Linked DNA regions of Caenorhabditis elegans. The protein of the gene in region 1 interacts with the protein of each later gene in a pairwise test. Each region holds a gene or a part of one and is shown on either strand. Other genes may lie near its edges. The genes, in order: mom-1 and C02B8.3.

Evidence for each region.
Region 2: the proteins of mom-1 (region 1) and C02B8.3 interact in a two-hybrid assay, tested with the Caenorhabditis elegans proteins (one large-scale study listed by BioGRID).

The regions. Positions count from the first base shown.
Region 1 is NC_003284.9:6,291,155-6,299,007, forward strand, and holds mom-1 (Protein-serine O-palmitoleoyltransferase porcupine), read left to right. Parts: upstream 1-1,957; 5' UTR 1,958-1,972; coding exon 1,973-2,120; intron 2,121-3,122; coding exon 3,123-3,312; intron 3,313-3,376; coding exon 3,377-3,626; intron 3,627-4,060; coding exon 4,061-4,235; intron 4,236-4,284; coding exon 4,285-4,407; intron 4,408-4,941; coding exon 4,942-5,082; intron 5,083-5,238; coding exon 5,239-5,339; intron 5,340-6,638; coding exon 6,639-6,839; 3' UTR 6,840-7,151; downstream 7,152-7,853. Other genes in the region: Protein lev-9, read right to left, coding at 1-127, 193-373.
Region 2 is NC_003284.9:8,137,393-8,140,895, forward strand, and holds C02B8.3 (DUF5354 domain-containing protein), read left to right. Parts: upstream 1-2,084; 5' UTR 2,085-2,189; coding exon 2,190-2,450; intron 2,451-2,509; coding exon 2,510-2,650; 3' UTR 2,651-2,851; downstream 2,852-3,503. Other genes in the region: C02B8.7 (uncharacterized protein), read right to left, coding at 329-487.

The DNA.
Region 1 (7,853 bases):
CTCTGACTGGCACCAACTAGTATATATCCCTTGTTGCATCCATATTCTGCATTTGATCCAAATCGCAAATCACCAGCAGTTCGTATAAATCCATTTTCAATATTTGGAAGTGGGTGGCACATTGCAACTGAATAAAAACAAAAAAGTTCATTTTTTATATTGCTCAATAGACAAGATATTTTTATCACTCACTTGGGTTCACACAGCTCAAGCCACATTCTCCGTCGCACATACATCTTTTGTTTCTTTTACAATCTTCGTCTGCTATACACTCTTTTTTGCAATGTTTCGGCCGTTGTGATAGAGTAACTTCCGGACAAGATAGGGCCGACGCGTAGGTAATGGAGATGGCGAGTAGTAGTAGAAATCGCATTTAATTCATGTGATTTGGTACTATGAAAATTTTAAAAGAGAAATCCGCTTGAGTTCTTGCAAGACGGCATTCTTTCACCAGCTGACACGCAATGTATTGATTGATTGGGGTCTTTTCAAGGGTTCCCATTGTAAAGTTGCTCGAGTATCATGCTTGTCTGATCAATTATTTGCTGCGGGACATTGTGGCAAATAGGAACTGACTGCTGAAAAATTAGAGGTGAAGGTATTTTGATGTGATTTTTGCGGTTTTCACAACTTTCACAGGGTTACAGAAAAATCTTTATTTTTTTATTTTATTTTTCTCCAAAATTTGAATTCAAAAAAGGGGAGAATTTTGAGAAATATCAGTGAAGAAATACAAGTTTATCGCAGGGGCGACAAATCATATTTTTTGGCAAACGTCCTATTTGGAAATCGCCTTTTAGGTTTGAATGATTGTGGAAGTTTGAGATTTTGCAAAAAAATTGGTAGACTGAAAAATATAAAAAAACAGGAAACAGGTTACAATTGTAAATGTTTTGCTTATGAAAAATCCCTTAAAAAGTATTTGGCAAATTGAGTTTAGTTTCGGCAGATGGCCGAAAATGAAAATTTCTGTCAAATCGCCGCACTTTTAGAACAATAATTAATGCTTGCTATTTCAGAACTGTTTCCCCATAGTTGAATTTTAAAAAAAGTGCAAAAAACATTCTCGAAATGGAATAAATTGGACAAGTGAAAAAATCATTTTGAAAAATAAAAAAATATCTGGAGGTATGGGGAATCGAACCCCAGACTTCTCGCATGCAAAGCGAGCGCTCTACCCCTGAGCTATACCCCCGTACGGCATTTGAGTAAGAGACGCAAGTGAATATACATACATTTTCTCTCTCACCCATTGACAAACTGGTTGCCTCCCCGCGAGGTGTTCCTGTGAAGCGGGGGGGGGGGGGGTGTTCTGCGAGTTGTTGGTTTGCTGTTGAGATGAAGAAAAATAGCTTCTCGCGGACGAGAAAGTGCAGCTAATTTCATTTTTTTTTTTTTGGAAAATGGTTTTTTATTGCTCTCTATTATTGAGAAAACAAGAGATGATCTTAAACATTATTTTTTGCAAAAACTGTTATCTTGTCTTTTTTCATTTTAAATATGTAATTTGTAATTTCATCACATATCTGTAAAATGAACTCATCAAACAATAGTGCTGACCGTTGTAAAAATGAACCGCAATCTCCGAAATAAAACTTTAATTCTTTTAGGGACACTCAAATCTTCCCCCAACAAAACTATACTTTTTTTGGTTCCATTTGTTTGATTTACCATGTTACGCTTAAATGTACTTCACTTGACCGATCCGACCATAAAACTTTGGTTGCATGTCCAAGGCACATCTGTTGTGTGTGACCTCTCCCCACATTCCGGCGTAGCCTCGTTTACATTTGTCCCCTTTTGTTAGACGCAAGAACTATGCAAATTCGCTCTATTTCACTCGTACAGACAGTTGTTTTTGTTTTGGTTTGAATTGGGTTTTCTGGGTTAATTCTAGGTTTTTTCTAGCTTTTTAGTTTTTTTGCCGTTTGGTAATCGTTAATATTTCATCAATTTCAAAAATTTTCAGAAAATGGATAATGGTCACGGGTATGAAGAATTCGAATTATTAGAAGATGGATCGCTTGGAGAGTGCTCGACACAAGTGGCAAATGCAACATTTCTCACAATTTCAAAGTTGATATGTTTGGTCGTTGCATTCAAATTCATCAAACATATACGTAAGTTTTGATAAAAATATAAACTGAGACAAAAATACCTAACAAAATGTTTTAAAAACTTTGTTTCAAACAAATTTGTTTCTAATTTGTTGTTATGTTCAAATTGGAAAACACATGTGCTTGCTTTATTAATCTTGCCAAAAAAAAAATGACTAAAATTTTCACAAAGTAAGACTGATCTAGCTAGAGATAAGAGCTCCATGGTGAGACGGTAGTCTTAAGTGGAGTAACGCCAGTGCGGAAATTGTTAAAAACGACTTCTATGGTGCAAAAATAGCCAACTATTATATTAGCACTTTACGAAACTTCTTATTTTGTTTCAATAAGTGGTAAAAACTCAGTTTCTGCATCCATCTTTAAAAGTTGTCTATTGAAAAAATTTCCTTTGAATTTTATGTTCTTGTTTCAAACATTAATATTTAAACATTGTAGGGATTCGAGCATGCGACAGTGCTATATTTATCTCGAATATTGGCGAAAACTCAAAAATTGCCACATTTTGACAGTCAGAAAAAAGGTTCTAAAATTTTTTGAAAAGTTTTAACATGATATCTGGTCATTTTAGCACCACAGATGTGGTTTTTACATCTGCATACTCTTTTAGTAGTGCGGTTTTATAAACTAATTAACTAATTACTATTAACTAATAATTAACTAAATTAATAAATAATTAACTAATTACTAATAAACTAATTAACAAACTAAATAATTAACAGAGTTTCCTACTGGATAGAAAATTTTATCCACAGAAAAATGTTTCATAATTTGATAACCGATGTTTCAAATTATGTATGTATTGAAAAACATACTAAACCTATTATTTTAGAAGGAAAACGTGAAAATTTCGAAACCAAGTCATTCATTCGTTCGGGAATTCAAAAGTTACTGAGTATTTTTATAGTTGCAAAATTTAAGAAATCATAGTAGTAAATCAGTTTTGTGTGATTTTTTCAAAAACTGGTCAATTTCAGTCTTTTAGCAAATTAATTCCCCTTTTTGTAGCAATTTCAACAACGGTTCGTGTCTATGTACATGTCTTCGCCAGTACTTTCACAGTTATGTGGTTTTCAAGAAATCACCTACAATCGGCTATCATTTACAACATGTTCAGTTTGATATCGCTTGCACTGGCCATCAAACAATTTAGTGGATACATCATTCTTGCAGGGAACATCTCTCTTCTGATTGCATTGTAAGTATTTTTTTTATAAGTCAAGCGTTTGTAAAATTTGTGGGACAAATTAAAAAATTTTTAGGCAAAACTTCTGCCGACACTACAGATCCGAAGACTACTTTTTGTCCATTCGTGGAATTTTGATGATCCATATAATGAGACTGACCACGGTTGCCTTCAATCTGGAAAAAGCGAATAGCAACAAATTCCGATTTGTTCAGTTTTCCAGTTATGTTGAGTACATTTACTTCCCACCGTTCATCATTTTCGGGCCCTATTTGAGTTTTGAGCAGTTTTTCAAAATGAGAGACAAAAAGTGGACAGGATCTGAGGTTTGTTGTGAAGTTTTGGGAACTAAGTCGTAAGACTATTAGTAAGTTCTAAGTGTCAAAGTGTTAAATACGTTTCAAAATTTTTAATCAGAAAATTTTAAACCATGGCTACAGTTTTGAATTTGATTTCAGAGTTGACCTTATAGGAGCGCTACTTTTGAATAAAAAGTGTAACATAACTACAAACCAGCCTCCGATTGCTGTAAAACAGAACTGTCAGCAAAATAGGAAACTTCAATTAAAATTTGGCAATTTTTTAAAAAGTTTCGAAACCCCTAAACGTTTTTAGCAATTTGTAAGAACTTCAATTATGACGTTTAGTTTTTCGGGGACTTTTGAAGAATAATAATAAAAAATTGACCCGTGAGTCCTCCTTCAATTAAAAACCCGAGATTTCATTGGTAATAATAAGAATAATATATCACTATTTTTAGAATGAGCTCGGCTTCATTATTCAGTCTCTCCTTGCAATCTTCAATGCGATCACTCTGGCAATCATATCTTCGTGTCATTTTGAATTCTTCGAACCTTCATCTCAATTTATGGAAGATGCTCTGACAGCTATGTCGTTCCGGTTCAGTCACTATTTTGTCTGTCTAAGCACTCAAGGTAGCCAAACATTCTTGTCTGTTGAAGATAAACTGACATGTTTTTTCAGCATTTGTGTTGATGTTAGGATCAGATGTAGTCGTTGCCAATCCATTGAATATTGAATTCTCCAGATCAACATTACAAACGGTCTCAGAATGGAACAAACCATTTCATACATTCCTGCATGAAAGTGAGTAAATTTATTTTAACAAATGATCGGAAGTGAATCTAATCAACATATAATACATGAAGTCATGTTCAAATACACTATTTTTTATTGACTTTGAAGAAATCTTCTACGTATTGTTATTTGATTAGGGTTTTCTTCCATAGTTCGTTGTTGGCATCGGACAACAACGGCCAATAGAGGGCAATCAGGTGACATCGGGCAATTAGCGGGTTGCAGCAGGCTATTGGGGTCGGGCAACAGTGGGATGTTGCGGGTGAATAGCGGGCCATCTAACCTCAAATTATTTGAAAAACGTCGCCCGTTATTTCTCACCTACTTGCCCGCTATCACCCGCTACTCACCCGATAGTCACCCGATAGTCACCTACTGATATTCCGCTACTTGTCCATTTTTGCCTCATTCACTGTTAATGCTTGCGTAAGATCTATAAAGCAGATTCATTTTAATTATTTGAAGAGCTTTTTTTTTTAATCAACAAACTTAAAATTGGAAACAAACGATACATTTCGTTTTTTCAGATATAATATTTTTCAGATATTTTCAAAAGGCGGTTGTTCAATTCCACTGCATGTAACGTTTTCTTCACGTTTGCAGTCAGCTCACTTTTGCACGGTCTTGACTTCCAAATGACCATTACACTATTGGCTCTTGGTTTTATTGCCTATTCGGAAACTGGTAAGTGAATTAAGAGATTTTGCGGTCAAATTGAGGTTGAATTTAAAGTAACTTTTATCTATGTTATATGGAAACAATACATGTAATTTTATATATTTCAAAAGTTACTGCAAAATGTCTCTACTCCACTTGTATAGTTTAAGATTTTTTTTTCAGTTTTCCGAAAACGACTTTCTGCCCGATACTCAATGTGTGTTGCTGCCAAAGCCTGCCCTGTCCGTTCAAACAGTCTTTCCTGCAAGCACAGACACTCAAACGTGAGTAATTATTTTAAGCGAAGGGACACCCAATCGATTGCCCATTTACATTTGGCGCAGGGGGTCACCATAGATAGGTATCGCGCAGGGAAGATTTACCGCCTTTCGCTTATTTAGTAGGGCACGCAAATTAGTATGCTTAACTGTTAGAAACACGATAAAACACGAATAAATTAACCACGGGCCCTTTTTTGGACACATTTGGAGTTTGCAAATATCGCATGGTTTATAAATTTAAGAATTTGCAAGAGTTGTCCAAAATAAATTGAGCTAACAATAATTTTGAACGTTATGAAACGTTATGATCAAAACATGACGTTATAAATAGTTTTTTGTCAGAAAGGGTATACGTTCCAAGTCAAAGTTTACTTTTCTGAATTTAGACTTTTTTGACTTGATATTATGATAACGTTTAATGTTTGTAATTTGAAACATACTTTGTTTTACTACTACATGTTCAGTGAGTTTCAAAAAATAACAACAAAATCATGATACTTGTTTCATTTTACGTTTTATTTTCATTCAAAGTAGCAATAGAATTTTGAATGAACAAACCCAGAAAAAAATCAAATTTCTAGGAAAAATCTACATATTTGGAATAAAACTAACTAGGCAATGGTCAAAACACTAAGTGGCCATTTAGCCCAAGACGTAGTTAAGATAAATATTAAAATGTAAAGAGAATATTAAAATCAAAAAAAAAATCTTGAAGATAACAGAATATTTTCAAAGCCTGAGTTATAACACATTTTTTAAAGTTAGGTTGTGTGGAAAAGTCTTCTTCGAAACTGCTTATTTCAATATGCTAATTTGAACTTTTAGAAAAAAAAACCATTGAAATGTAGGATATTGTTCGTTTAATTTAGAATTAACATTTACTTCTGTCTAAAATTTTTTAAAAAGACGTCGAATAGTGCATGTAAATTGTAGCTTACCAAAAACAAATTTTCAAAACAATTTAGCTGCATATGACAATTTTATGACACTTTTGAGACCTTTTTCGAACTGCAATTAGAAAATTTATTTTAGCTCTAACAAACGTTGTTCTACATTTCTAAAAGAATTTTTGATTCATATCGTTAGATTATGAGATATGGCTGTTTAATTTCAAAAGTTTCACATTGCCGGACACTAATTAAAACCAAATCCGAGCCACGCCACCAGGCTCATAATCACAGCTCATTTCTTGTATTGCTCCACACGTTTCATTCAAGTTTCCATTTGGTAAAATATCATGGTTTCTTTCCAAATTAATTCCTTTTTTGAAGGAAACACTAAAATTGTTAACTTATTTTACAGAAAACAGGACGTGCTTTGATCATCAATTTGTTCTTCCTTATGCTTTCCATGTACCATCTTGTGTTCACTGGAATGACGTTCACCGACGACTATTCTGCAATTGGCTATCCTTTTGATCACGCCTGGAAGATTTGGGGATCTCATTACTATTCGAGTTTCATGATTTCTTTCCTATTTCTTGCCCTGTCTAAAATAATCTGAGGTTTTGAAAAGCTGAAATTCAGTTGTCAACATTTTTCAACAAAACCGTTTTCTATGCTTTAGTTCTCAGTCCTGGCCATGTTCTCTTACGAGCTAAAACTAAAAATCTATTTTTTCTGTTTAATGACTCAAACTCGGTTAAGAATTTTTCTTTGCAATTGTTTTAGTTACGATCTTTTCATCCTATGAATTATTCATTCCGCGTTGTACAGAAGCATACATTTTGATTTGCAAAATGTATTTACTTGAAAGTTAATCACACTGTGAAACACATTAACATCCATGTGAAAATAATAAAAGAACACTTTGGTTTTACACTAGTTTGCTTAAAAAATATTAGAAGCGTTGAAATATAAACTTGCGTTGTAAGCACGAAAACGGTCAAATAACCAATTTTAAAAAGATGACAGGGAATGTGGCGTGTCATGAAATTGCATGTCTAAAATCAGGAGCAAAGAGTGAAAATTATTATCAAAATATCTCAACTTTTAGAAAACTGCAACAATCAGTAAGAATTCACATTCTTTCTCTATTAGCTAATAATTCATTTCAATTTCCAATTTACTCATGATAAAGGTCTAGACTTCTCACGTTTCTAGCCACATATACATTTTATGTAACGAAACAGTGACGGTCCATAAGTTGAAACCAACTGCAGTAACTCGTCGTTTGCGTGGCGACACCTATGCACGTAAGATCTGACAAAAATACTCCTCTCCAAGCGTCTACCAAATATCAAAATTAGTTTGGTAAATAAAATAAAAACCAAAAGAGTGTATGAGTTCGCGTCTTTTTCTGGGTAGTTGATAGCCAACATTAAAAAATGCCACGGCTTCTGAGAACCAACCGATTTTTTTTCTGGTTTAAAACTCAAAATCAAATTCAGCTATGAATTTTTAGTAACGATTGAATTCATGAAATATTATGTCACAAAATAATTATTTTTGATAATAAAACAGGAATATATGTTGTCTGTTGTTGTTAAACAAAGCACATGAAAAAGTTGATCTAAAC
Region 2 (3,503 bases), 1.8 Mb from region 1:
AACGACAATAAAGAAAAATTGAGAGACTGAAGATGTTCGGAACATTCTGGAAGTACATCAAAAGAAAGGGAATTGGACGACACGGACTAGGGGGATCGGAGAACCGAAAACACGTGTTAGAAACCAACAGATGGAATTGAGGTCATATTAAAATCCAGGAAATCCGTCAACGTCTTTGGTAAATTGCAACCGTCTCTTTTGCACAAACATGCATGCTCACTTGAGATGGATGATTAGCTTTGTGGAACTGGAAGGCTTGAAATGAGTGTCTCATAGAAACACTTTTAAAATATGTTGATGTTGTCGGCGCTGGCTATCTGAACTTCGTTTACACGGTACTATAGCTTTCTGGGGATGGCACGTAGCTACTAACTTGGTACACGAGGTCACTCATTGTATAGCCCTTGGAAAGGTCGTCGGAGTCAATGGGCTCCCAGCAACGTATGAGCTTGGTGAGTTGATCTTGGGCATCTTGGACAGCGTTCATGGCGGTTGGACGGGAACCGAAGGCAGATGCCAAGACGAGAGAAGATATTAGGATTTTTCTCAAAATCTAAGAAGGGGTCACTCGCTGTATAGCCCTTGGAAAGGTTGTCGGAGTCAATAATCGGCATTTATCTGCAGATTCTTGCACAAGTTCAGCCCTAATAAATTTATTGAATGGAACATTATCAAGGCTTCCTATGCCTGCTTTTCAAAACACACGCTGGTCAAATGCAGATTCGTTATTTCATGACTTTCGAAATGATTAATTTTGTTTTGTGAGCACCATGCTTATTAATTTAGAAATTCAGATAAAACAGTAATATGCTTTGACGTTTCTTCATATTTTTTAAATCACGTAAAAATAGGCTACTAAATTGCAGTATTTAATTTTCTCTCAAAACGAAAAAAAGCCACTTATGAGGTTACTTAGAAAAGCTTCAGAAACATTAATAACTAAGCTTATCAACGCATGTTATTTCTATTCTCAGTCTTTCAATTGCAAAAGGTTTTTAGGGATTAATTAGGTAAAGTTTAAAAAATCTAATGAAAAGAAGATTTGATTTTTTGAATTTCGGTTAACATTTCTCAGATTTTCGTTAGATAAAAAAGGGGCACATTAAGATTTTTTCATTGAAGCTAAATTATCACAAATGGGAAGTTTGTTTGAAACTATTAACATTGTGCGAAATTGATAAAATATATGAGTGTGTACATATTTTATGAAACGCGTTAATTAACAAAATATGTGCATCAATAATTTTTGAAATGAATGTAAGATTGAGTTTGTCTCAATATAATGCACCACAACACTTCATGCTTATTGTGTAGTTCATCGTAAGGTCTCGTACACAACTCGTATCACTTAAAATGGCAAAAATGGGTACTGCAAAAAAGGACACTGTTTTCTGGGAGAAAATTAATCATAGTTTTTAAAAAGATTCAGAATGTTTCTCGTTTAACCAACATAACACATATCATTCATCCTATACTACACCACTTTGGAAAATTCGTTTTGAAAATAATGAGTTTCTAGATGTTAGTACAATTCAAATGTTCCCCCGAAATTGGATTCTTTCCTTTAACTATCAAACTAACTCTATAAATTTTGTATCAAATAGTTTCTTAAACTTAATATAGTGACGTATTAGCCCAAAAACATCTGAGCTCATCCAAAGCTGTCTCGACTTCTGTTCAGCCAAAAACTAATGCATTAGAAATTGGCTTCGACTGTGTACACATGAACGCTTGATTATATATTAGATATGTAACATTTTTTTTGGATACTGACATAACAAGTGATAATTTTCTCAAATTTTTTCCAGATTCTGTTGCGTGTCAGTCACGGAGTGGCAACGTCAGAGCCAGGTACACACTGTAACCGGTTTTGTGCCATGTACACTTCGAAAGTGGGCGGGATGTTTCATTTCATATGATGCTCATCCCTGCAATCCTCCTCGTCACTCAATCTGCACTTTTGTTTCTCTTATATCTTATACGTCTCTTTTCCAAAGACTCTGTAAGCCCCGCCTTATGGAATTCTTGCTCCGCCCTTTCAGCTTTCATATTCAAACAGCGCTGAGAACAGTATTCGCCAAAAGCTGAATTCTTTTACAGCTTAACTCTTTCGTGCTTCTTCGATGTTGAGAAAAATCCTTATATCTTCTCTCGTCTTGGCATCTGCCTTCGGTTCCCGTTCAACCGCCATGAACGCTGTCCAAGATGCCCAAGATCAACTCACCAAGCTCATCCGTTGCTGGGAGCCCATTGACTCCGACGACCTTTCCAAAGGTCATACAATGAGTGACCCCGTGTACCAACTATGTAGCTACATGCCATCCCCAAAAGATTACAACAAGTTCCACGTGAATGGAGTTCAAATGGACAGCGACGACTACACCACTATTTTGACAATGTTTGCCAACCAACTTCCAGGATACGCTGTTTTAAATGTCTGTCTACAAGAGGTAAGCTATCAATACAGAAAGAAACACTGAAACAGATTTTAATGAGACATTTATTTCAGGCCTTCCAGTTCCACAAAGCCAACCACCCATCCCAAGTCAGCCTGAGATGTTTGTGTCAAAGAGACGGTTGCAACCTGCCGAAAACGTTGACGGATTTTCTTGACTTCAACAAGGGCCCAATCCCAGCTGTTAACTTCTAATTTGTGCTCCAATCCTCCTACTCCTTGTTGTTCGAAACCGTGCCCTCACTCGTGCTTCCAGAATGTTCCAAACATCTTCACTCTCTCAATTCTCCTGTACTGTCGTTCAAAGAATGCCCTTTTTCCTTTAATTTATTTATAATTTTCACAAGAATTGTTGCAGTAAGGCTACAAACAATCAGAATAAAAATGTGAACTGTTACCGCAGTTTTTATTGCTAAATTTTCAGGGGTACATAATAAAGAATTTGCATGGGGAGTTGTTTTCCAAACTATAAAAAAAGTTGTTTCTTATAATTATAACAACTACGAACAGATTTGTTTTACAGACGCCAACAAAAAATTTTCGCTTAACTTGTTTTAGTAATCAATAAGGTCATTACTGTGACGTGGATAGGCTATGTTCTTAATGGGAAAACCAGAATAAGAAAAGCATTGAGGCAGAGCATAATGTCGATGAAAGTCCAAGTTTACATTAATACATAAAAATTTAAATTAGACTTATCAATTCCAATAATAAAAAACTTTGAAAACATAAAAATTAAAATTATACAGAACGAACTTGAAATGAACTAAATTTGTTCTTCACTTTGCTTCCAAGAAATCCTGAAAAAAAAATCTTCTAAAACATCTTTATTGAAATTTAATCTTGTAGTTTTGCGGAAGTAATTCCAATAATTTAATTGTGTTTTTCAAATAATCCTTGAATTGAGAACATCACAATTTTCAGTATTTATCCCGCTTAAAATGACGGGAACTATCAAAATTTGCAGAATTCCTGTGATCATCATTTCCTTTGAATGCTTCAATTGTTTTTGAGTTGAATATCTTTCAGTCCTGCTTGATTCAATAAC